Linked DNA regions of Saccharomyces cerevisiae S288C. The protein of the gene in region 2 purifies or fractionates together with the protein of the main gene of each other region. This does not show direct contact. Each region holds a gene or a part of one and is shown on either strand. Other genes may lie near its edges.

Region 1 (10,121 bases), on a different chromosome or scaffold from region 2:
AAGTTTTAGGCACCCATGGGTGCAGAAAATAAAGTTCTCGGGGTCACTTCCTAGTAGGGTGGCAAACAAAGTATGCTGAAGTTGGCAAGCAACACGTTGGTTCAGCATACATCGGCCTTTCTCGGAATAAAATAATCAAAAAATCTTTTCCGGGAAGTCATTGTTTTATTGAGCATTGTAACGCTTTCTTTTTTTTTCAACATCTAAAGCTCATTAATATCCAACTTATCTCCGCTCTCGTATTTCCCTTCTCCTGCCACATAATGCCAATATTTTACCTTGCTAATTCTCACCACTGTCATTATGAGTAGAATTTTGGCTTTTTGGAGATGAAATTTTTCATGATATCCACATTGAATACGTTGGTCCTAGTGAGCTCTTCCTAATTGTAGTCGCTTTAAAGTGTGGGCCAGAACGCTTCTTGAACTTGATTGAATTTAAGCTCAACTAAGGTTTAGTTTCGACTCTTACAAGAAATAAACGTTAAAAGTGGGAGACTGAGTAAGGCATTAGCGCAAAGAATACAGAAGGTAGTTTGCGCACATTTGAAATGGCAACTTATGTAATTATTCTTGGAGAATAACATGTGATCTGAAAACTCATTCCTCTTCACTATTTAATAACATACTTGAATAAGTAATTGCGAAGTGTTATTAACTACTACTATAATCTCCGTGTCTCCCTGGATGTTGATCACAAATGAAGAAAAAACTGGACGAGATTTGAGTTTTAATGAGTCCAGATCACTTTAGTACGTGTTTAAAATTGTTGGATTAAGGTTATACCAATACTCATGTCACTACTCCAATTGGATTATGTATAATTATCTAATGTAGTAAAGAAAAAATGGACGAACACTTTTTGAAGTACGCAATCAGGAGATTCCTGGTCGCAGATCTATAGAAAACGAGACCTTTTTCCACAAAAAATGGTCTCTTAGGTTTCTTCACCGAAAATCGTTCAAGAACAACGGCTTAAGATAAATATTTTATGGTATATTAATTTTGATCAATAATAAATTGATAAATACATATATGTAAATCTATAATACTGTAAAGAAAAAGGGTTTGCTCTTTGAAAGTTAAAAATTAACAAAGTTCAAATGTACTTGTATGGGTTTAAGATTCCATTTGGATCGTAGTGATTTTTGATATCCTTCATAAATCTAATTTCAATATCACTTCTGGTGTAGTGTAACTTACCTTTCTTATGGAAACCGATCCCATGCTCAGCACTGATGGAACCTTTCTTTGATGCAATATATTCATAAACAAATGGTTCTAGTAAGTCCTCAATCTGTTTTGTAAATTCTCTTACCGCGATATTTAAATGGATGTTTCCGTCACCGACATGACCATAACCACATGATTTAACAACTGGTTTTGGTGCATCACCAATCAAACCGGCTGCGTTTAATCTCTCCGTCACAGCCGCAGATACGGAATATAAATCTTTCAATTGAAGTGACATGTCATACTTGTACATACCACCGTAAGAATTACAAGCTGTTGGAACAGATTTTCTCCAGGTCCAAAGTCTATCAAAATCGGCTTTGTCCTTAGCCATCATACCCTCCGAAATTAATTTAGAATCTGTGGTATCTTTGAGGAAAGCAGTCAGCTTCTCATCGTCGTGTCTCTTATTGGACCCTGACGTTTCAATAAGAACATAAAAGTTGTGTTGGTTCTCCAGAGGGAAAGGCAAGTCCTTCAAGTATTCTATCGTACATTCAATGGAGCCACGGTCCATGAATTCAAAAGCAGATAAAATCTCAGATAATTCACTTTTAGCCTTGACAAATAATTTCTGAACGGTATCGAAATTCTCAATACCAAAAAATACGGCATTCAAGGCTTTTGGCTTTGCTGCTGCAACTATGGATACACCAGTAACGACACCGATAGTACCCTCTGCACCGATGAATAATTGTTTCAAGTCATAACCAGTATTGTCCTTCCTTAGGGCATTGATATTGCTGATAATCTCACCGTTGGGTAGCACCACTTCCAAACCCAAAACATTACCGTGTAGAGACCCATATCTTAAAAAGTTCAAACCACCTGCATTTGTTGAAACTACACCGCCCACTTGACAGTTGTTTCTAGAAGGCAGATCCAATGGGAAGATATGGTCATGGTCGTGTAAAAATTGATGCGCATCACGCATAACGACACCCGCGTCACACTTGAAAGTCCCGCTAACTGGATCAAAATCTCTGACTTTGTTCATATTTCTTAGAGAAAGAACAATCTCATCAAATACCGGAACAGAGGCTCCGACCAAGTCGGTGTTACCACCTTGTGGTACTACTGCCAACTTTTTATCGTTACAGTATTTCATAATCTTGGACACTTTATCAGTGGAGTTTGGCAAGAGAATTAAATTGGACTGGCCTCTATATTTTTTCATCCAGTCCTGGTTAAACGAAGCAAGCTCTTCTGGAGCTTGAGAGTTTAAGATTTCATCATTTGACAAAATCGAACGAAAGTACGCCAAATCTTCCGAGTCGAGAACTTTGAAATTTGGGTTTCTCTTGACTTTAGGGTATGCCTCGGCAGTTAACTGAGCAACAGGATGTGCGGCCGTCATAATTCTTATATATGCTGTCTTTAAGCCTTGAATCTCAAATGAATAAAATATTGAGGAGCATTTTGGCACCCTGTTCTGCCTCGTCAGTTATATAAGCGAGTGATCACTTATATACTCACAACCTTTCAGTTTCCGCGCGTGACTTAGATTTGGCGGTCACCAACTGTGGCAAGTGGTGTCATCCGCTGGAAATATTTTCCGAACTAAGTCGTCGAAATGGTCATTCTTTTAGATGACTGTGGACAATATCCCGCTTAATGATCACGCACAAAAAAAAAAAAATGAAAAAACATAAAATGCGCCACTCCTGTTGACATTGCAGACAATTTGTTGTGCTTTCTTGACAATTATGTTCCTATAGGAAGCATCTTAGAAATTTAAACAAATGCCAAGTCGGGACGAACGATACTGTAATTATCAAGATGCTCGAGACATTTTGGGTAGATTCTTGCGAAAGGGAAGTAACGTTGGAAGCTGATTAATCTGACCAGGTCAAGCTACTAAAATGCGTCTTTCCTGTTTATGAGTAACTTTCATGCCTATAGAAATATAGTAGTCGCCAACAATCATTTCGATACAACTTGTTCTGTAGAAGCCTTCTATTCATTCAGTAGAATTTGGATCGCAGAGTTCTTACCAAACGTTTCCTTTCATACAGATCTTTGCGAGAAAATTCTTGTTTCTATCACATTAATCTTCTAACCACTTTCATTCGTCAAAACCTGCACTGTACGTATTGTAGAGGCGTTAGCAAGACCAGCGTACTGCACGCCAGGTTAAAATGAACCTATAGTCTTGTTTGACAACAGCGGTTGGCCATTTATATTGTGGCTTTATTCGTATAACTATGATAATGGTTGAACCAACTAGGTTCAACTCTACTATTATGTGTCGATCAGCGGCTCCTTCTATGTATCTTATTCACAATTTTTGAGCCCACATGCTTTCGAATGAGACTTCTATAACAAGTTTTTTAGGTACTTTACATAGCACTTTAAAGAGAAATCAATAGTGGATATAAGGAAAAGTCGTTACGTTCTGTGCTGACAGAAAAATAGTATTTTTAATTACTGAACTGATAGATTCGATTCAACACTTATGATGCTAAAAAGGTCATGAACGAAGTTTGATAGCATTCTATTACTGATTTTCAAATGCTCATTTTGCCGCGAATATTATAGGCCAATAGATTTAAGGTTAAAAAAAAATCATATCAATGGCATTTTAAGGCAACTATATTTTCAGCATTATATTTTACTTTTCCTTTATTTTTTATAAAGTGTCCAGATGGCACCTATTATACAAGCGCAAAATGACATTTGAAAATGTGTGTTAAAATCGCAATTGATCAACTTTAAGGATGATAGAATAAATTGCGTAATTCGTGAACTATAGAAAAGCTTTTTTATTTTGATTTTAGTGAAGGTAAGAAAACATCGATGCTTTATTTCTCTAAGCGCTCTCCAAACTAAGGGGGTTGTAGGAGAATAATAACGTATAGATGAATCACGCTTGATTTGATGGACAATCCCAAAACCATTTGAGATAACTGTAAAGGTTTATATCATAAAACTTTTATAGATGCTACTGCTATAAGTAGTGCAATTTGAATGTTTTTTTTTTTTTTTTTGATGTTACTATGCCGCCAATTATATAATAAATGCAGGAAAATCAACTATATAAATATTGCTAACATGACTTTTATTCGAAAAAAATAAATAAATATAGTGTTTATATTTAGGATTCCTATTCTGTATCCATCTGGAACCTTCAACATTGTAAATAGTGAATATTTATACGCACTTTTTTTTTGGTAGTAAGCACGGTTAGTTATAATTGCAGGAAAACAAGGAACCCACTTCTTTTTACTGTTTATATCAATATGTTGCTCAGCAGAACCTACAGTTTATTCAAATAGAGTGTGTACGGGACTATACCACTACAATCTATGATTTCCCAACTCTTTAATCATTTTGATCACATGAAAGTCTTTGGTAAAGTCAACTTTATCGTCAAATACCTTTACTTGGTGCTGTTCTTTGAGAACTTTGAACCTTTGCACCTCTACAAAGCCAAGCTTCTTTTCATAGTAACCCAATAGGTCATGCTCCATGATAATATCTGCAACCACTCTTTTACACTTATGAGACCGCATCATATGAATTACACTGTAATTGAATAGTTTTATACCATAACCATTACCCATGGATGTAAAACCTGTGATCTCATAACTCTCCTTATTATTTGGTTTGTAGCCGATGGTTGCTAGGGTATGTTCTGAATCGAATGCCTCTGTCAAAAACTGGACCTTCGGAATATAATATGTCGGTAGAGATAAATCTTTGTTTGTTTCACCTTTAAGCTGTTCAAAATGTTCATGGAAATTAGGGTATGCTAAGGTAGGATCATTTAATAATAAGTAAAGCGAGGATTTCTCTATATTCTTGTCAAAGCCCAGATCACTGAATAAAGTCTCAAGGCTGTGCACTCGAGGGCTAACTATGATGCCATATTTGAGTCTTGGGACATCATATCCTCGATTAATTGTTGTATACAAGCTATACTTAGTATCTTTAGATGAATTCTTCAAAATCTCGACTGGGAGTATAACGATGTTGCAAGGGCAAGCTGACATTAGTTTTGTTGTGCAAAGGGCATGATAGACTCTCGATATCTTCAAATAAGTCTTTCTCAATAATTTATGTAGAACCTTACGTTTTCAATCACGACCAAGAGTAAGGTGTATTATATCCATACTGTTTTGTGCATATATTCTTTTTTTGATTTCTTATCTGAAGGAAAAACAAGATCTTCAAAAGTAAAGTTATTGATCCCATATTGGTAACCAGATAAAAGAAAAAGGCAATATCACGTGCTTTTACAAATATTATTTCCAATTGGATTTCTGAGAGGTATGGGTGTCATTTCCTTAACGTTATTATAAACTAGCCAGAATGAATGTACAAGCGGGAGAGTAGCGTCGTGTGATACTATAAAACTCTGAGTGAGGGTACCGTCAAGATTCAACCATAGTGTGCAAGAAGTGTTCATCTTCACCACAGGGGTCATTTGAGCATACAATCCTCCAATGTCGGTAACAGACGCAGTTGCGGTTAAAGTCGTAGATGATTGCCCTATGCGCTAACAAGATATTCTTCAATAGGAGCATCTAAATTATTCTCTCTGAAAAACGAACAATAATCAACACTGGAATTGTAACCATTTTTACCCGGATGGGCGATCATTTCATTATTAACTAAAGTAGCTTTTCCAATACGCCTTGACTTTGTGGGGCAAAGATATTATGCTTTTATCATGCGAGAGATCTTAGGTGCCGCAAAAAAAGATTTTGCTGGCGTGCGCATATAAGACTGTTTTTCGTCCCTGCATTGAGATCGCATCTGTCCCTGAGTAAACGATGCACAGAATATTCAGGCTGTGATTCTACTAACTGAACATTGAGTTAGCACTTATATATTATAGGCGTAAACTATCTCACCAAACTTGCTACAATCTTCTAGAATTGATATTGTATTCAACTTTTTTAATGTATCCAACTGAATGTACTTGATAACCTTCGTTGCATTGACGGCTAGATTCTTTAACCTAGCTGCCGCCTCGGCCAATAATAGTTCCTTCCCTGATATTGACCTTACTAGTTTTTTGAGACACTTCACCAATATTCCAGCAGGACTTTAGTCAGGACCGCTCCAGCCCATATATCGCGCGCCTCCGGCAGAGAGTTAATTAGTGTGTACGATCTTAGTTCCAATGGTGAAAATAGCCCTCAAAACCTTTGCTTTCTCTCACCTAGCTTCGGAGGTCAGTATATTATATGTAAAAAATGCTAAATATACCTGCACTTGAATATGGTAAAAGTGGCGTTACGGATAATGCATTACTCAAGGGAAGTATACAATGCTAACCCCAAATATCAGACTTCATAACAGATTCAACTTTTCAGGAACCAAGAATGATAATTGACGTACTTTGCCTATTATTAAATTTTAATAGTGTCTAAATTTCACTAAAAGATTCATAAATGATCAATTGCAGTTTCCTCCGTAAGAACAAACGGATAACAGACTATGGTGAATAAGGAGCACAAGAGTTTTAAAGGTAGTGCCTCACACGCGCTGAATGTAAGCAAGGTCAATATAGCTGCTGACCTGAAAATGAGATAGCAAATGTAACATTGAATTTATCAACTAAGAGACAGTATAACATAAGTGAAATCAAGATACCCGGCCTCAAATCAAATAAAAGTACAATCCCCTCTTGATTAAAGAACAAGTATAATATTGCTTGATAGTGTATGGTTTAAAATTTTCTATCTTTCTACCGAACACCTTCTGGACCATTGTTGTTCCTTATTAAGAATTCTCAAGTTACAGTATTAAAAAGGCAATATATATTTAGTTCTAAAATGCGCTACTAAGTGCTGGGTAGTCTGATTATGGGATCACTTTATTCATATAGTATACAATATTCAGAGAGGCATTGACTTAGCTACCAAAAAAGTATTGAATCGTTTAATGGCTATGAGAATACTTTTAGAAATGGCATTTTCCTGTTCTGGTGCATGATGCTGGAATAATGATGCTAAGTTTCTTCTAAATGACTGTGACTAGGCGATTACCAAATAATATAATACAATTCCTTCCCTGCTCGTGAAGAGAGAAATTCTATGCCACACTAAATGCATCGCGATAGACATCCAAGATGAAGTCAACCTAGGACTTGGCCCCCCAAATTACGGAAATCGAATCAAATGCAGGCTCTATCTTTTATTACAACTGAAGAATATGGTTTTTGAGGATGTATAATGAATTCGAAATAGTATGATATGAGTCTGAATGAGTATTATCAGTAAATGATGAAGATGTATTTTACTGAATGCTTCTTGGCAGTTCCGGTTAACAAAAAAAACTTAGTATGCAAAGTTCGTTGCTATAAAAGCTTAAATCAAGATCCAATTTGACAGGATTCTAGTACGTGAATACACACAGAATTTGCAGTTTTGTTTTCGGACAACTGAGTAAGTTGTTTCGATAAGACATGCTTACAATATACAGTTTAAATAACAGGGAAGGACATTAGACCTGCAAACTGATAAATTGGACGAGTGGTGTTTTTTTCAACATTCACCAAGTGGAAAAAATAATATAACCAGATATGAGATGCTAGGGACATGCGCATCTCATAGCTGAGGCAGACAAATCTACTTTTTAAAATGTTGTTGGTTAAAATGACCTCTTGGGATTTGAGATGCCCAAAGCCAATAAATCTATGATCTCACATCTTCAATATTAATGATTGGGTAGTAATTCAACAAAAAGTGAAGTCGCAACCACAAATAGTTGGTTTTATATAGTTTAATTAAAAAATGCGAGCACTGTGTTGCTGATAGATGGCCTTGTTTACCTTATAATTGAAAAAGAGCAATAATTGTGAACAGGTTTGAGTGAAAAAAGTCTAGTCCCATTTCTGGAAGCATTTAAGGAGATAAATCAAACCATTTAATTAAATGACTTCGTAAATCTAATGGCAATTGCTGTAATTACGGGTACAATCCAAGAGGCCTGCAGTGACTGCTATTTTTACATTGGCCGTCGTCATTTACGTGCAGAGTGCAAGAACAACGCAGCTGCTTTAACAGAGGTTACAGTGTGATAAGAAGCTTTAAGCAGCTTGCTACCCCATACTTGCCGATAGATTCTTTGTACATAGCTAACGCATTCTGTGATACTATTCAATTCAAATCAAACACTTTGACAGAACTTCGGGTTAAACTGTCTCTTTCAAGATATTTCCATCTTTATATAACCATTTCTTTCCACTATTAGCGAATACTTTCTGATTTTATGGAGTGACTGTTAATCTTCCTAAAGTTTCGTATCATGATTTAGCGTCGTAAAAAGTAGGGATACTTTTCCAAAGCCTTTGTTCATAAATAAATTAGTTCGTATTATAAGCGATGGGTTTCCAAGAATGTGTAAATACACTGGATTTCCGTTGAACAACCTCAAAAAGGTAAATGTATGGCAAGATTATATTTGGTACTGGTATATAAAATAAAAAATATCAACTGGAAGAACAAATAATTTGAAAGGACTTCAAAAGCTCATCTCTAGTACTGTTCATTGCGAATTTTAAATTTTCATTCAAAATTAGCTGTATATATCTCTTCATTTTAGGGATGTCTCAAATATTCAGGGGAGCCCAAATCTGCAACAGTTTTGACTGAGCCAACCGGTTTTCCTTTCTGTAAGCTTATACGCGTTCACTGGGGTAATCACATGTGATATCTAAGAGATAACCTAAATTTCAAGACAATAGGTTAAGGTCCACACCGTCATCAAATTGGGTGGAAAATGAACTTAAACTATACGATGCCTCTTTAGAACAAGGTTACAAATCCTGATAAATGCAATTCAAATGGCCCTTGTTATGATGTACCTGTTTATTCTTGGTCGCATTTTTTAATCACGCACCCCGAAGCTGCTTTCACAATACAGTGCGCAGTACTTGTGAAAACCATACCCTCGGGTCAAACACTACACATACTCAACGCCTATCACCATCACCTCTTAAAGGAACAGGTCTGACAATATACTACGGCCCCATATTCTGACAGCCAGGAAGAATCTCACAAATCGGTCAAATTTTACAGCAAATTTTTGAAAAACTTCAACTTCCAGTGTTAGATCATTCTAAATCATCATTGAAAAGTTGAACTGCAAATTGCAAATGAATATCAGACGAAAATGAATAACGCCGTTAACCTTATTGTATTTACAAAATATTGAGTTACTATTATATAGCGCTTTACTAAGAGGATATATTAGTCTGGTGAAGAGCATGTAGCTACAACCTTCATTGATATCGTTTTGTAAACGTACTGTGTTTTCAAAAACTTTCTCTTTATAAGAGTAGGCATTGCCAGTCGACCTCATATCTCAAGAAATGAATATCATAATCTGCGTAAAAATGGCGTAAATTAGCTCAGTGAAGTTGTACGAAGTCATTAAAGTAGTAAATGAGATAAGACATCAAGCTGTCATACTACTTTCTTTTCTTCAGATGTTGATTGCCGTTTCAATCTATCGTCATGAAATTGGTCTTCCCTACGCATTTCCCCTTAGAAATACAGGAAATGAGTCAGCTGGATCTATTGCTTATTTTTAAGAAGCATATACGGAGCTTTTATTCAATTAAAGTATGGCAGGCCAACAAGGAAACGCAATTTCAAACAGATTTTCCCTTGAAATCTAATCAAATTTTACAGATAATAACCAGCACTGGTGTTTGTTAAGCTACGCTTTTTATCATCACCCATATGCCGAGAATAATTTTTCCAGTTGGATTGCTATCTTTGATATTGGTGATTTCATGGCTTATCAACTTGGCGATGCAGCAGTTAGAGTCCCACATGGAAATGTTAATTTTAATTACTAACGAAATGATCGCTAATCCGGCCGAGTATGGTTTAAATTCTCGTGTTAATTATTGTTCATTTTTTTCAAATAGAA
Region 2 (10,081 bases):
ATAGTTCTCTTCTAATCTCAGGACCGATATCTTTATGGCCTCTTTGACGAACAGTTTCCAACAAGAAATCTCTCTGATCCTGGGTAATATCGTTCTTGTAACGTTGTGCAAATGTTAAGAAAGCCTTGTGCCATATCACTGGGAGTACTCTTGTAGCATCTTCCCCATTACTACCGTCATCCAAAATTCTAAACCTCATAAAGTAATACACGCAGTCGTCCACCGTCTGGTACGGTAAAGCATATTTTTTATCGAGCAATATTTTGATAAAAACAGTTGTAGGTGGAGAGAAAGGTAGCCTTAAAAGATAACTCAAGGCAGCTGAAGAATGTAAAGCCGGAACAGAGACTTTAGCAAGCACACTTCCTGCAATTGTCGCTTCACGTACATTACACCCTGTTTCAACCAATGGGAATAGGAAACCTTTGAAGAAGGCACTTGGTTTATAAAGCGATTTTTTCACCGCACGGTATATATGATAGTTTAAAGAGTGGTCTTCACTGGTCTCGATATTGTCACGGAAACGTTCAAGTAAAATTAGGTTAATAAATTTTTGAGATTCTTTAGCAGTTAGGTTGGATACAAATAATTTCGTTGCTTCGTAAACAACGTGTGGTGACCATTCTTCCGGGTTGGTCACATAAATGACATCTTGCCAATTTCTTAAGGATGGGATAACCTTGAACAACTTTGGCAACTTACCGTGCGTCCAAGTTTTTAAAATACTACCTACCGTAGTATATGCTTTGATGACCTTCTCTGGAAGTGCAACACCCTCTCCACTCTTCAAACCGGATGAAATATTGCCTCTTGAGGTATTCTGTTCATTAGCAAGTGGTTCATCATCTTGCATATCTTCAACTTGACTTTCCTTTTCTCGGATAGAGGCCATAATCTTGTCTGCAAGATTATAGCTACCACTTAAAGAGTTAAAATCATCTGATTTCTTGAAATATTGCTCAAACATCGCTGCGTCTTCTTCATCGATTTCAACTATCTCTTCCTCTTCTTTATAATCACCTTCGGGTTCAAAATCGGAGATGTCTTCTCCAAAAGCTTCTTCGTCTTCGTCTTCGTCTTCGTCTTCATCATCATAGCTCATGGTGGTGAATCTGGCTTCAAATTGCTTGTTTCTTTCTGATTCAGCAAGTTCCTCACCTTCAATTTCATCCTGTTGTTCCTTGGCCAACTGCAAAATTTTTCTTGATGCTTTGGAGTCTATGTATCCATCTTCCTCATTTGCAGCATCGTGATTTGCAGCATCGTTCTGCGCTAGCTTCTTTTTATTGATTTTTTTCAAGGTACCTTGAGCTGCATCTAAATCCTTTAAAAGTGGATCATGCCTCTGTTTTCTGGCTTTAGTAGAGGATGCTCTGGCCATTATAGTTAATCTTTCTAATATATTGTTTTATCTGTAAGTCTTAAAACGAGACAAATCTTGGATTTAAAACAACTTAGTGCATATTTCCTTTCGTCAATGTTGAAGAAGTGGGAGCTCATCGATTTTTAAAAATTTTCATTTCCGATGCCTCGCTAAAAAAAAAAAATGAAAAAGTGGAAAAATATGTTCTATTTCTTCCCCTACTGACACCACCAATAATACAACCATATAAGTTGGTACAATTTCTCCAAGCTGTACATCCTCTTGTGTTGTGAAATGTCTGATTTAACATCTATCATTATTGCGTATATAGACTGAGTCAAGATTATAAAGTATACATATCCAACCACATTACTCTTCATCCATTCTAACCTTTAATCCGTGCTCTAGTAAATACTCCTTTACATCGTTAACAGTGAATTCACCTCTGTGGAACATACCTGCACCCAAGCAAGCATCTGCGCGGGTCTTTAGGAAGGCCTCTTCGAAATGTTCGGGTACACCGGCGCCACTGGATGCAATGACGGGAATCTTGACCGCATCTTTAACATGTTCTATCAATTCCAGATCATAACCAGAATTAGAGCCATCCTTGTCTATGCAGTTCAATAAAATCTCCCCAGCACCTAGAGCTTCACATGCCCTTGTTAATTCCCACACACCAAGGTCTCTAGATTCTCTTCCACCTTTGATTGTACATTGGTACCAGCAGTATTTCTCTCCATTGGGGCCCGGATATTCTGTCTCGAAGACTTTGTTCTTCGTATCTGCTTGTGAATTTACATATACTCTCTTAGGGTCGACAGAAATAACAACTGCCTGAGCACCGTATGCTTTCGAGATTGTCTCTATTGGTGACGTTCCATCTCCTCTGTTACCCAACTCGTAGTATTTTTCGGCTGCATAGACTGCATCCGTACCGATCGATACTTTATCAGCACCAGATCTGAAGTATAGACTTGCAACTTCTAAAGCAGGTATTTTGGTTCCATCAACATCGACAATATCCTTGATCCCCCCACCGACTGTCAATGGAACAAAGACTGTCTTTGCGGCTTGTTTCAGAACCTCTAGCATCGGAGTATCCTTCAAAGGACAATCTCTAAAAGAAGTTATATTCAAAAATGTTACTTCATCCGCACCCTGTTGGTAATATTTCTGTGCCAACTGAACAGGCTTACCAAGGTTTCTAACACCTTTACCATCACTTTTTTCACGTACATCGTATTGATCACCTTTAGTAACCACCAAATCACCTTGGTCATTAGTACGTACATCAAGACAAGCAATAATTCTGCGTGTTAGACCATAATTTGAATAGTCATTCATTAAGAGTTCCTTCTCTTCCGCACTATAGTTTGGAATCGGAGGACTTTGTTGCTTCAAAAAATTCTCAATGACGTTCAAACCAGCTTTACCTGATTTTTCAGGATGGAACTGAGTAGCGAATATATTATTCTTGTTGACTGCCGCAATAAATTCCTCTGAACCGTACTTAGCTTTTGCAATTTTCCAACCGTCATTTTCTAGGTTTTTTTTCTTTTCTGAATTCAGAATGGCAGCAAAAGAATGGACGAAATAGTACCTCTTGTATGGATCCAATCCAAAGAATAGGTTTTCCGAGGGAATGCAAGAATTCCAACCTATTTCTGGTACTGGCTTTTCTGAATCATCGAACCTGGACAACTTAAAATCAATGTAGTTCAGACCCGTACTCTTAGGGCTTTCCACGGAACCGGCAAAGAGCGCTTGTAGCCCGACGCAAATTCCCATTATTGGTTTTCCAGATTCAATGTATTCTCTTATCGGCTTTTCGAATCCTCTATTAAATAAATTGTCGACGAAATGGCCATAATTTCCGACACCAGGCAAAATCAATCTTGACGTGCCTGATATGTTAAAATCCTTTGGTGATTTCACCAGTTGTACTTCGTAACCTAAATGCTCAATTGCATTGGTTAGTGACTGTAGGTTACCACTTTCAACGTCAATCACGTGAACGACCGGCATTCTCTTTTTCTTTACTTGTAAATAATTAAAAAACCTAAACTGGATACTGCTACTTCAATAGCTGCCTCTTTTCTTTTAAAACCTGATTGAGTAGTCGTCGATATCAAAGGAATATCAACTTATGTATGTTTCGATGTCTGACTCTTTTCTCATGAATTTTTCATTTTTTCATGATCACCTAATTAGCCGTGGAGAGAGAGAAAAATAATCCCAAAGCTACGATATGACTCAATTTTTTTTTGCAGAAGAGTAACTGATAGTATAACATCCACGAAATCAGTGAAAGGTCAGCGAGCTTTGCCTTTAAAAATTGAGTTTCTAGTTAATTAGTAAATAGCGCTAAACACAATTAAATAATACCGAATTGGCAGTGGTAGAGGAAAGAATGTACGTTACATATATCATTAAAAAAACATCTATTTCTTGTTAACTTCTCTTCTTTGTCTGACAGCAGCAGCCAATTTCCTCAAGACGTCTTCAGTAGTTTCCCAACCTATACAAGCATCAGTGATGGAAACACCATATTTCAAGCCGGCTTTACCTTCGGCTGGGATGCCTTGGTTACCTTCGTTGATGTTTGATTCAATCATGACACCGGTAATGGCGTTTTCACCGTTAGCGATTTGCTCACAAACAACGTCATTGACCTTTGGTTGGTTTCTGAAATCCTTATTGGAGTTACCGTGAGAGTAGTCAATCATTAGACCGTTGGAACCGGCAGGCAATTGAGCCTTAGCTTCTGCAACGGACTTAGCGTCGTAGTTGGTACCCTTTTTACCACCTCTTAGAATAACGAAGCAGTGTTCGTTACCCTTAGTAGTGGTGATAGCAGCAACACCATGCTTAGTAACACCCATGAAATGGTGAGAATGAGCAGCGGCTTGACAAGCATCCACAGCAACATTTAAGGTACCATCGGTACCGTTCTTGAAACCAACTGGGAAAGACAAACCGGAGGCCAATTCTCTGTGCAGTTGAGATTCGGTGGTTCTGGCACCAATGGCACCGAAGGAGACCAAATCAGCCAAGTATTGAGGAGAAATGGTATCAAGCATTTCAGAACCAATTGGCAAACCGATATTTGTCAAGTTGACAAACAATTGTCTAGCGGATTGCAAACCCTTGTTGATGTTGAAAGTGTTGTTAACATCAGGGTCATTAATTAGACCTTTCCAGCCGACGGTTGTTCTTGGCTTCTCCAAGTATGCTCTCATAATGATGGATAAATCACCTTTTAATTCATCTGACAATTTCTTTAATCTCAAAGCGTATTCTTGAGCGGCTTCTAGATCATGGATGGAACAAGGACCGACAATGACAAGAACTCTGTCGTCTTTACCGGTAATAATATCTATAGCTTCTCTTCTACCTCTCTTGGCAGTTTCCAAAGAAGTTGGTGTGGCTGGGATTTGCACTTGAAGGAGAGCTGGAGAAGCTAATGGGTCGTAACCTAAAATTCTGACATCTTCTTCAGCACCTTGATTTACCTTTGGCATGCCGTTGGCAGCGAACATTGGAGATTCACTCATTTCTGATAGATTCTTTTGTTTACTAAATTTAGCGGTTAAATATATAAAATAAACGAATATAAAGAGAGACTCTTCTAGTTATTCTTAATTACTCTTATAACGATGCTAAAAATGACGAAAGAGGAATTAACACGATATATAGATAATATACCAATGAAAAGAAGAAGAAAGTATGAGAAAAAGTTTCTGTATTAATATGAAATTAAACATTGATTGGATTCGATCACGATGTATTCAATGAGCTAACAATGCGTCCCGCACATCTTTTTTTCAAAATTTCAAGCAAAATTTTTTCATTTCATCGTTGAGTCATTTCGCAGTAACGTACAAAATGCACAGGGTGCAGCGGGTGGGGCCACGTTTTAAAGTGATTCTGCCATGCCTTTGCCTTTATATTAAGCAACATAACTGCCTGACAGTAATGCAACTACACAGTGTTCCGTGAGACCGTTACAGCTTATGTTTACACAGCCTCATGCCCAATGAAAGAGTGTCAATATAAGGAATGCGCTTGCATATATACGAGTACATAATTTGCTGTTGATCACGTGATTCATAATTTTTTTATTTATGTGCCGATGACAATGTTTTCCATCACTTTCAAGGCTAGCTGTATACTGGCAGTTCGTGTTCAAAAACCTGTGTGGAGTTTTACCCTAGCATTCAGTTATGTCAGAAGTGTGTTTGGCATCTATGTTAGGCCAATTGTTATTGTTTTATGCGAATTATGTGGGTTGTGCAGCTGGGGTCAAAAAGAGCGAATGTAATTATATTGTAAACATTAAATCTGCACAATGGAATCTTGTTTAGCCTTTGTTTTTTTCTTTTTCTTTCTATTTCTTTTGTTTTCGATTTTGTTTTTGTGTCACAAAATAACTAATGGCGACATCGCAGTTTTTTGGGCGGCTGCATACTGTTTAATAAAAAGAAGTTACTGCTACCTCAAGATTTCTTCCTAAGCACTCAAGCCCATGTTTGCCAGTATTGTTATCTTGCAACAAAATCAGACAAATAGAATTTCCCTTTTTTGTTTGACTAATGTTGTTTTCGTCTTCATCTTCTTCACTTAATTCCGAGGTTTCACAAGTGTTCTCGGAAAATATATCTAGTAGATCCACTACTCTGACTGAAAGTTCCACACAAAGCGAGATAAGGCAGCATTTTGGTAATGAAGATTTCAGTGGTGAACTACCAAAAAAATTAATTCAACTCAAGAAATTAAAAAATGGTGGCACTACAATCAAGAAGGCTAAGGAAGACCTTGAGTATTGCTATGATTCACTACGGCTGTACGAAAATCCCTATGTAACATCATCTGTAGATAAAAAATGTGGTTACAGCATTGAATTGTATCTAGATAACAAGTACAAAACACTAATGTTCTCCGATTTACAATTGAATGCTGACTATCCGTTGTATTACGATTCCTCACTGGATAATATATCTACAAATGTTGAAAGAGAAAGAGCCACTCCTCTACAAATCAAAGGAAAGATTAGGATAAACATTGATAGAGAAGACCAGGCCCTCTTAATCACTTCCCATTCAATTTCTTTAAAATGTTTCACAAAGGAATATGCATGCTTTGTAAATTCAGAAACTAGCAAAAACTCCTATAGTGACAAAATTATCAAAGAACTTAATCACACAGAGTTTTTTGAGTCTTCCACCTACCCCAAACAGCAGTTGAGAGTCATACACCACTCATTAAATGATAAGAAAATTCTATTGACAAAGGGCACGTACGATTACCCATTCACTTTTACCCTTCAAGCAAATACTTTCCCAGCAAGTTTCTCTTCCTTCTTTGGCAAGACCCATTTTCGAATAGAAAGCTTAACAACAATAATGAGAATACCAAGTAAACCTAAAAACTTACTCAAATTTTTGAAGAATGAAAGTTTTACAGATAAGATCATTTTAACAGAAGAAATTAAAGTTAAAAGAGTCCTGCCTTCAACGAGTATGCTTAAGTTTGAAACATTTCAATTAAGGTCATACAATACTGCAAGTGAGATCGTAGTATCGGTCATTGGAAACTCCAAGTTGATTGAAATTGGTATGCCTTTCCAAATGATATTATCAATTACCAAAACAGATTCTTCCATTGAATTACAGGAAGCTTCTTTGGCAGTTGCACAGAGAATGGCAATACCAAGTATTGATTTGAAGACCAAGAAAATACTACGAGAGCCATACATTAAAAAGTCCGAGTATTTACTAAGAACTGTAGAAAGCCAAAGTTTCGATTCCGACAAGACCATTTTCGGATTTTGCTTTGATGACGTTGTCATCCCAACCTATGCGGATGGTCTACCGAGCTGGTTTAAAACATTCTACTGTGAACCAAGTTCATTTTATCCCAATCATGCTGCCCTCAAAGTAACTCATTTGCTTTTGTTCAGAATAACCTATAGCAGGAATGAATTGGTGGAAGGGCTTGAAATGAAAAAAAATTATCGTATTACGGTGAATTTTCCAATTTTAGTTGGCGATAGTGATATTTCGACCAGCTCTTTGTTACCCAAATATGAAAAATTTGAAAATATTAGTGATCTACAAGATGAACCCCCACTATATTCTATGGTAGCAGGTGAGAATAGCTTATGAATGTTCGGTACCTCAGAACAACGCCTCTATTTTATCCTTTTTTTTTTTATTTGCATGATATACATATACTATTTTTTATTAGTTTCTTATTCTACTATGTATTTACGTAACAATAAATTTACAGGTCTCTCTTTTTGTAAGTATCTTGCACGCTGATATCTATAATACTACTTCACAAGTTGATCAGCTTCCGAGATAGACATTTTATGTATCAAGTCGCCATGTCCGTTCTCTACTGGCCGGTGTATATTATGATATTTCGACCGGTTCTAATACATAAGCACCGCCCACTCTGAGGAGAAGACATTTTTACAAGAATTACTAGCCATATTTTCCCTTGTCAAATTAGAGAAGGAAAAATTACTTGAAACATCCCGTGTTTGGGCACTAAAAGTATATCAATAGGAGCTGAAGAACACTACACTAGACTCTCTTGGCGTGAAGGCCTTATTATGTGAACTTTCGTAGGTTTGACTTTTACTACCAGTATGAAAAAGGTTAGAGTTTATTCAATCAAATGGAAAAGTTTTACAACTGAGCTAGTGATCTCCAAATGAGGTAGCAAGTAACAGTCGTATGTATCCCATACATTTATGTATCCCATATATTTCATTACATGGTGATGCTTTCTTTTATTCGCGGAGTAAAGTTCCTTAAAGTGAAAAAAAAAAAAAGACGAATTGACAAGACAATAATACAAGCACCACTAAAAGACCTATCGTTATTGTTGTCAAAGTAGACGGTAAACCATACAAGAAACAGATTTCATAGATCAATAGGTAAAGATGTTCAAGAGGCAATTATCGACTAGTGTTCGTTATCTACAGCATTATGATGAGTCGCTATTATCAAGGTACTATCCTGAAAGTCTTTTAAAATCCATAAAACTTGCTCAACAAACGATACCAGAAGATACTAAATTCAGAGTATCTCGTAACGTGGAATTCGCACCACCATATTTGGATGATTTTACCAAAATACATCCTTTTTGGGATTACAAACCAGGCATGCCCCATCTCCACGCTCAAGAGGAGAATAATAACTTCAGCATCTTTAGATGGGACCAGGTACAACAACCATTACCAGGCGAAGGTAACATTCTGCCTCCAGGAGTCAGCTTACCAAACGATGGTGGTCGGAAATCGAAAAGCGCCGATGTAGCTGCAGGGCTACACAAGCAAACCGGTGTAGATCCGGATTATATCACTAGAAAGTTGACTATGAAGCCGCTGGTGATGAAAAGAGTGTCAAATCAGACTGGGAAGGGTAAAATTGCGTCTTTCTATGCCTTGGTTGTCGTTGGTGACAAAAACGGTATGGTAGGTTTGGGAGAAGGTAAATCTCGTGAAGAAATGTCCAAAGCGATCTTTAAAGCTCATTGGGATGCGGTAAGGAACCTGAAGGAAATACCTAGGTATGAAAACAGAACTATTTATGGTGATATAGATTTTAGGTATCATGGTGTGAAACTACATTTAAGAAGTGCAAAACCAGGGTTTGGATTACGTGTAAACCATGTAATCTTTGAGATTTGTGAATGTGCAGGTATCAAAGATCTGAGTGGGAAAGTATATAAATCCAGAAACGATATGAATATAGCTAAAGGTACCATCGAGGCTTTCACGAAAGCTCAAAAGACATTGGATGAGGTTGCCCTGGGTAGAGGCAAAAAGCTTGTTGATGTCAGGAAAGTTTACTATTCAAGCTGAAATACTATGTACATACACACGCACCATTATCTCTCGTTTTACATAAGTAAATACAGCAATAATAATACCTGTAAATATCTCAACATACTCAATCAAATGAGCTGATAAGCATATTCAATTTTTCTTCATAGCAATATTTTTTTCTGTCCAAGTTTTATTTTTTTTCCATAATTTCTGATTTACTACCATTGAAAATTATAAAAGGAAAAATATTACGCGCTACCATTTAATAAGTAGAAACAACTAAGTTCTCGAATGAGATGTTTGCACTGATACAGCGAGCCAAAAAATAACCAAATGACTGCTACTAGCGACAAAGTACTAAAGATTCAATTGCGCTCAGCAAGCGCTACTGTACCTACCAAAGGTTCTGCCACTGCCGCGGGATACGACATTTATGCATCTCAGGATATTACCATTCCGGCTATGGGTCAAGGTATGGTTTCCACCGACATATCGTTCACCGTACCTGTTGGTACCTACGGTCGTATTGCGCCAAGGTCAGGCCTGGCAGTGAAAAACGGTATCCAAACCGGTGCTGGTGTTGTCGACAGAGATTACACCGGTGAAGTTAAAGTAGTTTTATTCAATCATTCACAGAGGGATTTCGCGATCAAAAAAGGTGATCGCGTAGCCCAATTGATTCTGGAAAAAATTGTCGATGATGCCCAGATCGTTGTTGTAGACTCTCTGGAAGAAAGTGCAAGAGGGGCCGGTGGCTTTGGTAGCACTGGTAACTAACTTAGTGTATATACTTTGGCACACTTGTATAATGTATAATAAAATCAGGATAAATCCAGTGTGACCCGGACTGAATTACTGAAACTTTGAAGTGTTAAGGA
Region 3 (10,738 bases), on a different chromosome or scaffold from region 2:
TGAAGTATCAATCATAGATTGCATTGCAATCATAAATGATTTAGATGAATCAGCAGAGTATTCAGTTGACATCTTGAGCCGGCTATTGATGGTACGGATCTACTTCTCACAATTCCAATGGTGTTAGAAGATATTATGAACATGTTTAATTTCAATATGTTCAATACATATTCCATTCTCGGTCATTACCCGAAACGTATGCCAGAACAGTGACTGTTAAAATAAAGTAGTGGAAAAAAGCATAATATATATACAAGGTGTGGTTTTAAATCTATTTCTTTTCAAGAAAAGTGCACATTCATGTATATGAACTAACTACATTTAAGAATTATATAAACATTATGGACTCCTGCTTATTCAGATAAAAATTTTATTATTTCATCGACAGTTCCTGTTTTATCCCATGCTGATTTACTTTTCCATATTATTTTTGCAACGGACGAATGAACATCTTCTAATTGAGAAACCGTAAAATTCTGACAGTGTTCGATTAAGCATGCAGATACTTTTTTTATTTGTTCGGGCGTCAAAATAAGCTCCTTGTCGCTCTTCTTCCCTTGCTCCGGTTCCACAACCTCTTTTGGTATCGGACTTCGTTCCCTTTTTTCTACCGTTTCGTGGAGGGAATTTGGTTTGTTAACCGATTGAATTTCCTTTACGTGATTTATATTATTAGTATTAGCGTCTATTTTGCTGAAGTTTTCTTCCGTAACCTGCGTTTGCAAAGAGTCTTCATTCTCTTTTGGTTCTTTTCTGGCCCTTTCATCATCATCGGTGGTTATCTCTGACGTGCAAGTGGCCTGTATCAGTTCCGTTGTGTATTCTTCATTTGCACCGCTATCCTCAGGGATGACCGCTTTTTCTTTATCTACTGCAGAGGGAATTGCCGCAGGAATCTCCTTTTTATACAGGTTGGTATCAATTGGTTGAGGGACCTCGCTGTTATTAACGATAGAGGCTGTATTGATAGTTGTTTGCAGCTGAGCTTGCAATTGATTACCAGCAGCTACACCAAACTCATTAGCCTTGTTATCCTTTAAATCAGGTTCTTGCAGTATATTTTCTTGACTCTGTTCTTTGGCTTCTAATTCCATTGCAGCTCTTTTCTCTTCATCTTCTAAGAAAAGTTCCTGCCTTTCCAAATCCCTTTGGCGAGTAGCTTTACACTCTTGAATAAAATCCGGGGTTGAAATTTCTTCGATACCCATTTGCGCGTTGGCAAACATCTCAGAGGCCTTAATGACACGTTCTCTGTCCCCAATGGTATTTGCATCCCTGTATATCAGTTCAATGTCTTTTAAAAACTGTTTTGGTTCTGAGTAATAGCCATTCCAAAGTCTCTCTTCGACAATATCCAAATCCATGTTAAAAAACTTTCGCCCTGTTGAAACCTCCAGAATCATGTTCTCATCTTTTATATATGCAGGTTGCCAATTGGGATCATTGCTTGTCTCTGGTTCGAAAAGATGAACCAAGAAGGCATCATCAATAGGTGGTTTTCTAAACCTTTTATATCTGTTTTTAAAAAGATCCATCAAGCCTGAGAGTTTGATTTTTAACACATTTTTCAATCTCATATCTTGGTGTTGAAAAGATTTCAACTTCCTTCTTAATACCACTTTTTCAGACAGTGGCTCACCATTTTCATCAAAATTTGTTGGAGCTGCGTTTGAAGTTACTTTTTGTAATTCAGGTAACGGTTTGACTCTTCTCTTTTTCATGGGAATATCACTTGGCTTTGTTTTCAGTAGTTCAATTAAATTAGAAAAATACCTCGTTATATTCTCTTTGGATGGTTTATGCAGTTGAAAGATATTTTTATCAAAAGCAAAATCAGATAAAATACCATTTTTAACTTCAGATATATCAAGATTTTCAGCTAAGCATAATAGAAGAATTTTTTCATTGCTTTGTAAAGATCTGAACAAACCTGATAAGACTAAAATAACGTTTTCTGGAATAGTGTTGATCCAAATGTCTAAATTAGGAATAAATACAACTGAGGGCTGTCTTTTCTTTGCTTCCATAAAACTTTGCACTACAGCAGCTTCAATAGTCCTAGAACTTTCCGAAACCAAAGAGGCAAGGTCCAGGTTTTGGACGTTGAATTCTTCTAAATAATTTAAAATTGCGGCTCCGACATATTGTTGACCATTTCCCTTGGGCCCATTTATTAATAACCGAGGTTTACAAATTTGTGATTCCGCCATCGATTCGAAAAACTCATATGATCTAAAACTGGATGTATCTTCATTTCCTCCATATTTGTCATGCTCTTCTTCCTCTCCACTGTATTCTTCATAATCGATGAAATTTTGTAGCAATGATGTGTTTCTCTGAAAAGTTGTGTCTTTAATGTTCAGCATATAATCCAGCTTGTTCTTTAAATTATTAAGTTGATCTGCCAGTAATGGTTTGATTAATTCAGGTAGTGGCTGAGGAGAACTACCAGTAGATCTCGCAGATGACGGAACAATTTTTTTCAAAGCTAACATGAAATCGCTAACTTTGACTTTAATCTTAGAAGGGTCCACCAAGAGTTTATCATTTGACCTATAAATTTGAGGAAAGCTTCTTTGTATACTTATTAGTGCAGCCTCAGTGCATAGGGACCTCAGATCAGCACCACCATATCCTTTGGTCAAAAAAGCCAATTTATCAATGAAGTTGGTTGACAACGGTGAACTCCATTTCCTGGTCTGAATTTGCAAAATTTTAAAACGTGCTTTAACATCAGGTAATGGAAAATAAAATTCTCTATCAAATCTTCCCGGCCTTCTTAATGCGGGATCCACTGCATCGGGTCGATTTGTGGCTCCGATGACAATGACTTGGCCTCTATTGTCCATACCATCCATCAGCGCTAATAATGTGGAAACAATACTAGCATGGATCTGTTCTTGTTTGGAACTTCTCACAGGCGCTAATCCGTCGATTTCATCAAAAAAAATGATGGAAGGTTGATGTTTTTTAGCTTCTTCGAATAACAAACGGAGTTGTCTTTCAGCTTCACCAACCCACTTGGATAAAATATCTGCACCTTTACGCATAAAAAATGTGATCTTCCTTTCATCAGAAGAACAACTTGCTGCTAACGCTCTTGCCATAAGTGTTTTACCCGTACCAGGAGGACCATGGAAAAGAACACCCCTTGGGGGCGTGATATTAAAATTTTGATACAATTCTGGGTATAATAGTGGTAAGGCCACCATTTCCTTTAATTGGTCAATGTAGTTGTCTAAACCACCTATATCGTCAAAATTTACATTCATGTCTACGCCTAATGGATCGAGGTCTGCAATTTCTGGTTTTTTCTTCTTCTTTTTTTGCGTGTTCTCTTTCTTTGTTTTCGGTGTCACGCCAAGAGGTAATATCTCATCATCGGAAGAGTCTGAATCCAGTATTAATTTATTGTTGTTATTATCACTGAATGCAGATGGGACTTGGTTGTAAAAATTAGTATTCTTACCAAATATTGTAGTTACGTCATTGCCACCAAAAGGTCCACCAGTGGGAAAAAGCCTTCTTGTGGGACCAGAATTTTGACTAGCATTCCAACCACCGCGACCACGCCGTGCAGGTGATGGGTTATGAAAAGAAAGTGCATTGTTATTCTTATCTATAAATTCTTCTGCGTTGCTAGCAGTTAGTGGTGGTGGTAATTTGTAATTTACCGGCTTAGTTCTTTCGCGAAGAAATCTTTTTTCCCTGATAGGACTATCTTCCTGTAACTCTCTAATTTCATCAGCTAAAGTTAACGCTTCATTCCTGCTATTATCATTCTCATCGTCATTTTCTTCATTTGAAGTACGCGAATGTCTTGTCCTACTTCTTAAAGCTCTTCTTACCGGTGGTGGAGTTTCTGGGTGACGTGACGATCTTGTTCTTCGAGAATTTGCCCTTTTCAAACGTTTAGAAGAAGCCGAATGGCTTATTCTGTCTCCTTCTTCGTCATCCTCATCGTATTCTTCATCGTCATCAGGGTCTGGTACTACAAATTTCCTATCGGCCGCTCTGCGCCGACGGTTGTTATCCTTCGAGTCTTCATCCAAATACTCATCTTCAAATTCGTCTGCTTCTTCCTCCTCTTCATCATCGTCGACATCTTCCTCATGAAAACTTTCGTCATCTTCTTCTGGATCATGCGCTTTTCTTTTTCTCAAGTTCCTTTCATTAGTAAGCTCTTCGTTCGTTCTGGCGTTTTCGTGCGGTGATACAAGATCAACATCATCGTCTTCATCATCGCCTTTCTGGTTGTTGTTATGATGTTCATCACTAGTAACATCAACGGGCGTCTCATCTTTGTCCATGACCTGGTCATCTTCCAAAAAATCAAACACTTTCTCAATTTCTGCGTAGTTTATTTTTCTCAAAGAGCGAGTTGTTGTATGGATTATGCCATTTTCGTCTTTAATCTGTGTTTCATACCCAACCTTTGCGTTGCTTGCATCTTCAACGTCGCTACCGCGTCTATTCCTTAAATTTCGTGCCATGTTCTTTCTGCACCAATTGTGAATAAATAGCGAGAAGAGAGAAATAGACCGTGGTAACTTCTTTTTATGACTGTCGAAAACAACAATGGGTTAGTAAGGAGTACGCAAGATCCTTCAGACGTTTTGCTTTATTTAAGACCCTACGCAGTTCCTTTTCTGCTCCTTTTCGTCCCAATATTGCTCTTTCGCTACCACTTTGTCCTTTTTCGCACACATGGCCGTACAAAATAACAGACGGTACGTTTTTAGTGATAATAAACAAGTTTATAGAGGCAGAAAAAAATTCCTCAGCGGCTAATGCCTCAACAAGTTCAGCTGCAAACGATGAAAAGACGCACACAAAAGCGAATAGAAATAACCGATCACCACAGTTCCTCTTTAAAACATCTCAAACTCAGCATTAACTTTCAAATCAATCCAGTGAAAGTATGCTTGGTTTGACACTTCACTGCCATTTCCTCCTGCCTGCCTATCTGATGCTTTGCCACCACAAGAGTGTTTTCCCTATGGCTTAATCGCTTTTTTCCATTTATTTTTCTCTTTCCCCCTTTTAATAGAGGGAAGAGAGCAGAACATACAAACATATCATTTTCTACGGTATAGCCTCCGCCTCCATCTTTAATAGTGACACTTCCATCAAGGGAATAAAGAGGCTTCAAGTCAAGAACTAAGCAGTCCCAAAAAATACCCATAAAACGAGTATAAACCATACTGTTATGTCTAAAGACACGCATGATGATGAACTGCCGAGCTACGAGGACGTAATCAAGGAAGAGGAGAGATTGCAATCTCAACCGCCACGACCACCAAGACCAGCAGCTAACTTGGCGCAAGGGCACCAATCAAGACCCCACCAAAGGCCCTCGACAATGCCAGCAACGTCCTCATCCCAAACATATGCTCACTCACACTCTTATACGCCTACAAGTTCCCAACCACGGCCTCCACCGAGGCCACAACAGAATCCTAGCTTGCCCTGGACATACCCTCCCAGGTTTTACTGTTCCAAGTGTGGAAATACGGGTTACAAGTTGAAGAATGGACGATCTTGCAAGTCGTGTTGGAGGAGGTTTGCACCTCAAAATAACGTTGTTTCTGCACCGACATATTACACAAACTATACAATGCCCGTGTACACCAACGCATGGCAGGGTAATAGGCCCTTGTACGTTCAACCAGGGGATCCTCGCCTGGGTGGCGTGCTATGTGGTGAATGCAGAGGGTCCGGACGCACCAGATTCCTGTTGGACGAAGATATATGTCCTCTTTGTCATGGTGTAGGCAGAATTATCACCCAGCCTCAACGCTATTAGCGCATGAAAATTTAGGATTTGGATGACCCGGTACGGCCTTAGTAGAAAAGCTGTGTCGCTCACCGAAAAGAAAAAAGACCGAACAACTGTAGGATGAAAAGCATATTTTAATGCTCCTAATTTTCAAACATGTCTATTACATACTTATCACATAATCCGACTGATTTGCCCTTCTTTAACTTCTTTCATTTATTTTTACGGTGCCAACCGTCTGATCGATATAGCATCCGTTCATAAAATATTATACGACTCCATCCTCAATCGTGATTGTGCGTGCGTGACTCATTTTTTGTTAGAACCAATACTTTCAATCATCCCAAAATGCATAACATCCAATTAGTGCAAGAGATAGAAAGACATGAAACCCCGTTAAACATTAGACCTACCTCTCCATACACTTTAAACCCTCCTGTCGAGAGAGATGGGTTTTCTTGGCCAAGTGTGGGTACAAGACAACGTGCAGAGGAAACTGAAGAGGAGGAAAAGGAACGAATTCAACGCATTTCAGGCGCTATCAAGACAATTTTGACCGAACTGGGTGAAGATGTCAACAGAGAAGGTCTACTAGATACTCCACAAAGATACGCTAAAGCCATGCTTTATTTCACTAAAGGTTACCAAACGAACATTATGGACGATGTCATTAAGAATGCTGTCTTTGAAGAAGATCATGATGAAATGGTTATTGTTCGTGATATTGAAATTTACTCGTTATGTGAACATCATTTGGTGCCATTTTTCGGCAAGGTTCATATCGGGTATATACCAAATAAAAAAGTCATCGGGTTAAGTAAGTTGGCCAGATTGGCAGAAATGTATGCGAGAAGGCTCCAAGTTCAAGAAAGACTTACAAAGCAAATTGCAATGGCCCTAAGTGATATTCTAAAACCATTAGGTGTAGCCGTTGTTATGGAAGCTTCTCATATGTGCATGGTTTCAAGAGGCATTCAAAAAACGGGATCTTCTACGGTAACTTCTTGTATGCTTGGAGGGTTTAGGGCTCATAAAACAAGAGAAGAGTTTTTAACTCTTTTAGGAAGAAGAAGTATTTGAAAAAAAAAAATAAAAGCGACGATATATCGTGTATGTATTAACTAAATTAATAGAGATATACAGGATTAATATCGTTTGAGAAATCTCCATAGAGAAAGGCCACGCGCGACTGAGCTTTTTTTTTTTTCAACAATCAGTATATACATTTACTTCCGGTACAGCATCGCACTTGACAGTCCGTTAGTAATGAATAGAAAAGTTTGAACTGCTAAATAAAAATCTGTAATTATCACAAAACTAAACTATGTGATATTCAGATGTTTGATACCCTTGTGAGACAACCGTTCGCAGGTAACTGTTAACTCTGGAATGGGTAAACAGTAGCTCACAGTTTGTGAGTTTGTTTGATTTGCATCTCTTTCAACATGAATGGTGGTAAACAAGCCACCAGAAGTTACTGGATAAGAGTTAATTTGGTCATCGTTTTCCAATTTCTGTAGCTTTTGCTGTTCTGTGATGATACCAGGAATGACTATATCACCAACCTTTACGCCTAATTCTTTACTCAATTGGGGATTATTCAACAGGTTTTCTATAGGTATAATATCTGACCAGTTTCTCTTGTTCATGAAACATGATTCTTTACGTTTATGTACTCCATCCACTTCCTTGGCAAAAATTGGTACGGCATCTTCATCCGTTTCCAAATCGAAATGATGCAAGCGACATCTTTTTTGCAATAGCGTGGCCATTGCATCTGGCGGTGGGGTATTTACTATGGCGCTAGCAATGATATTAAAAATCAGCCTTACGTCTTTCGTTGGTTCTTCAATAATTCTGGTGTTTTCCTTTTCCTTCTCCTCAGACATGATGAGATGGTGTCTATGAATTTTTGCCCTAAATCTCCCAACAGATGCCAAATGTACATCGCCTGATAATATGGTTATTCTGACGCCATATTTAGCACCTATGTCTTGCAATTTCATTATCAAGTAGTTTCTTTCTTTTTTATGATGTCTCGCGCACCAATGATCATTTAAATCATCCAACAGTTCTACATCTCCATTAAATTCGTTAACGAAGCCACTAGCAAATATCCCTTTTTTAGATAAATATTTAATTGGAGCCAGTAGTTTTGAGGTAAAAAGCCATTCTAACCATACTAACCTTGGATATGCAATCGGGATACCGAGCATCAGCAATAAGTGGCCACCTTTTAAATTTTTTATTTCCCTTTCGACACGTTCCCAAATTAAGGAATAACTTCTTTCTGAGAAAATCTCGTGTAATTTCCTCTCAGTTCTACAGTCCAACCCTAACATGGCCATTTTCGGACCCAACCAAGAGAATATTGAGTGAGACCTTTCACCGATATAAGAACTCCCTTTTTCATTACCTAGAATCCATTGTTTGCTCTTGAGATAAGCATACTCATCGCCATCTTGTTTAGAAGCACTGACATGCTGCTGGAAAAGCATATAGTATCGGTAAGCCATTCTTCCCACTGTGAGGAAATTTTCAGTCTTCATGAAGGAATCGTTGTACGATCCATAGCCATCAATAATATCGTGGTCATCCCAGACATTAATGGCAGGAATACAAGCTAGTGACTTGACAAAGCATTTTTGGGTGGTCTTGGATTTTGGGGTAGAACCATACCAGTGACCGTAACCGTACCAGTTTAAATAGTGTTCTAAATAAAACTGCCTAATCTGCTCTTTTGTTTCTTCAGTGGTCTGAGTATTATACTTCTTAATTGGGTCCTTTGTCTCCAGCCAAGCTTTAAGATTTGGCGCATGCAGTTTAATATTATCGGAGTAAATTTGATCTCCGCCGCCGAGAATGGCATGATAATGAACGTATCGATGCTTTTTAAGGACATCATACCATAGAGAACCTTTGAATTTCGATGTATCTACGCTCAGTGAAAATCCGTTGCATGAATAGGAGATAACGTTCGAATTTTGAGTGAAAGAGGGAACGAAGAACCTATAATGTGGTTCCATAGTACCGTCAACAGCATATTTTACCATCTGCTCATAGTTGGACATGGGCAACTTAATCTCATACCTGTAAAACCATATATTATCATCTTTTAAAATGTCCTTATGAAAAAGTTTACCTTCGAAGAATGCCTCGTTAACTTCGATGTCTTCATCCTCAGAGGGCAAAGAGGGCCCTAGCTGATAGGTAATTTTCGGAAAGTTTTCCTCGCCTCTAACTACCACCATAATAGACCCCTCGTAGGTTTTTTCCTTAAAATCCATGTTGATGAGTCTTAATATCGGTCCACATATAATACCAGACTTTGGAATTGGCGAAGTTTCGGAACAGTCATCGCAGCCAGTGACATCGTCTCTATAAAGAGCTTCTGGGTTCCAATCGTCGAACCAGTTTGTAGCATGCATTTTTGTAGCAGTGTTTATTTTCAATTGAGTACTTTGAACCCGGTAGCAACTGTTTTGACCTTCTGTAGGACTTTCCCCTCACTAACTTTGTGGAATTTCTTTTCATTTTTACTAATGGACCCTTCGCTATGTAGCCGTGCCGATAAAAATATATTCCTGGTATTACCCGACGCTGCTATTTCAACTTTTTTCAATAAAAGGACGAAAAAATAACATGTTTAATCTTGAGACCTTCTGGGTTAAGTTTATTGATAGAGATTAAGTACTAGTTTAAAACGTCTCAGGCATAAAACATGAATTATGCTAACTTTTTAGCTACAGCGGACATAGTTGTACAAACTGAGGAAAGGCTTCTTTAACCAGGGATTTTGAAGTAGGAATTGTTGAAGTCAAAAATGGGAACCTATGGAGGGGAATTCAAAAGGCATGAAGTCAAAAGATTAACATAATATAATTCAACTTTGAAAAATATTCTAGTCAAAGCTTTCCCGAGAACGCGTAGCGTGATGATAATGGTGTATCCTATCGATCTGTCGACTTGCTATGATTATCTTTGTTAGCCGCCGAAACGATCATTTATGCATTGCCCGAGTATAGTCACTTCTTCTCAATATCACGAGGCACGAATGATTTCGGAGGCAGAAAAAATTTCTGTACGCAACTTATCGAAAGAGAAAACGAAAAAAAAAAAAAGACGATGACAAATTTTCTTCGATGTCTAATGTTAATGATGATTTGCTTCCTGATATGCATCTTTGTGGAGGAATAAAACTTGAAAAAAAAGCGGAAATTTACAACAAGCATGTCTTTCCTCATTTCCTTTGATAAATCGAAGAAACATCCTGCCCATTTGCAGTTAGCGAACAATTTGAAGATTGCCCTAGCACTTGAATATGCAAGCAAAAATTTAAAGCCTGAAGTTGACAATGATAATGCTGCCATGGAATTGCGCAATACAAAGGAACCTTTCCTTTTGTTTGATGCTAACGCTATTCTAAGATATGTCATGGATGATTTTGAAGGTCAAACTTCCGACAAGTATCAATTTGCATTGGCATCTTTACAAAACCTGTTATATCATAAAGAATTACCTCAACAACATGTCGAGGTTTTGACAAATAAGGCCATTGAAAATTACTTGGTCGAATTAAAAGAACCATTGACTACTACAGATTTGATCCTGTTTGCTAACGTTTATGCTCTAAATTCTTCTTTAGTTCATTCTAAATTCCCAGAATTGCCATCCAAAGTGCATAACGCTGTAGCATTGGCTAAAAAGCATGTTCCACGTGATTCTTCTTCTTTCAAAAACATCGGCGCAGTGAAAATCCAAGCTGACTTAACAGTTAAGCCAAAGGATTCAGAAATTTTGCCTAAGCCAAACGAAAGAAACATCTTGATCACTTCGGCATTACCTTATGTCAACAACGTTCCACACTTGGGTAATATCATCGGTAGTGTTCTTTCAGCAGACATTTTTGCTCGTTACTGTAAGGGACGTAATTATAATGCCTTGTTTATTTGTGGTACT

What was found.
Region 1: the proteins of ARO4 (region 2) and DLD3 purify together in Saccharomyces cerevisiae (affinity purification with mass spectrometry, with the first as the bait; one large-scale study listed by BioGRID). This does not show direct contact.
Region 3: the proteins of ARO4 (region 2) and YGR266W purify together in Saccharomyces cerevisiae (affinity purification with mass spectrometry, with the first as the bait; one large-scale study listed by BioGRID). This does not show direct contact.

What each region holds. Positions count from the first base shown.
Region 1 is NC_001137.3:8,823-18,943, reverse strand, and holds DLD3 (D-lactate dehydrogenase), read right to left. Parts: upstream 2,590-10,121; coding exon 1,099-2,589; downstream 1-1,098. Other genes in the region: RMD6 (Rmd6p), read right to left, coding at 4,529-5,224. UniProt on the Saccharomyces cerevisiae protein: Catalyzes the reversible oxidation of (R)-2-hydroxyglutarate to 2-oxoglutarate coupled to reduction of pyruvate to (R)-lactate. Can also use oxaloacetate as electron acceptor instead of pyruvate producing (R)-malate.
Region 2 is NC_001134.8:713,075-723,155, forward strand, and holds ARO4 (3-deoxy-7-phosphoheptulonate synthase ARO4), read right to left. Parts: upstream 4,921-10,081; coding exon 3,808-4,920; downstream 1-3,807. Other genes in the region: snoRNA-binding rRNA-processing protein ENP1, read right to left, coding at 1-1,381; HIS7 (imidazoleglycerol-phosphate synthase), read right to left, coding at 1,733-3,391; SPO23 (Spo23p), read left to right, coding at 5,959-7,530; mitochondrial 37S ribosomal protein uS5m MRPS5, read left to right, coding at 8,316-9,239; DUT1 (bifunctional dITP/dUTP diphosphatase), read left to right, coding at 9,537-9,980. UniProt on the Saccharomyces cerevisiae protein: Stereospecific condensation of phosphoenolpyruvate (PEP) and D-erythrose-4-phosphate (E4P) giving rise to 3-deoxy-D-arabino-heptulosonate-7-phosphate (DAHP).
Region 3 is NC_001139.9:1,021,125-1,031,862, reverse strand, and holds YGR266W (uncharacterized protein), read right to left. Parts: upstream 9,208-10,738; coding exon 7,102-9,207; downstream 1-7,101. Other genes in the region: SLH1 (RNA helicase), read right to left, coding at 1-72; chromatin segregase YTA7, read right to left, coding at 354-4,493; HUA1 (Hua1p), read left to right, coding at 5,210-5,806; FOL2 (GTP cyclohydrolase I), read left to right, coding at 6,128-6,859; methionine--tRNA ligase MES1, read left to right, coding at 10,010-10,738.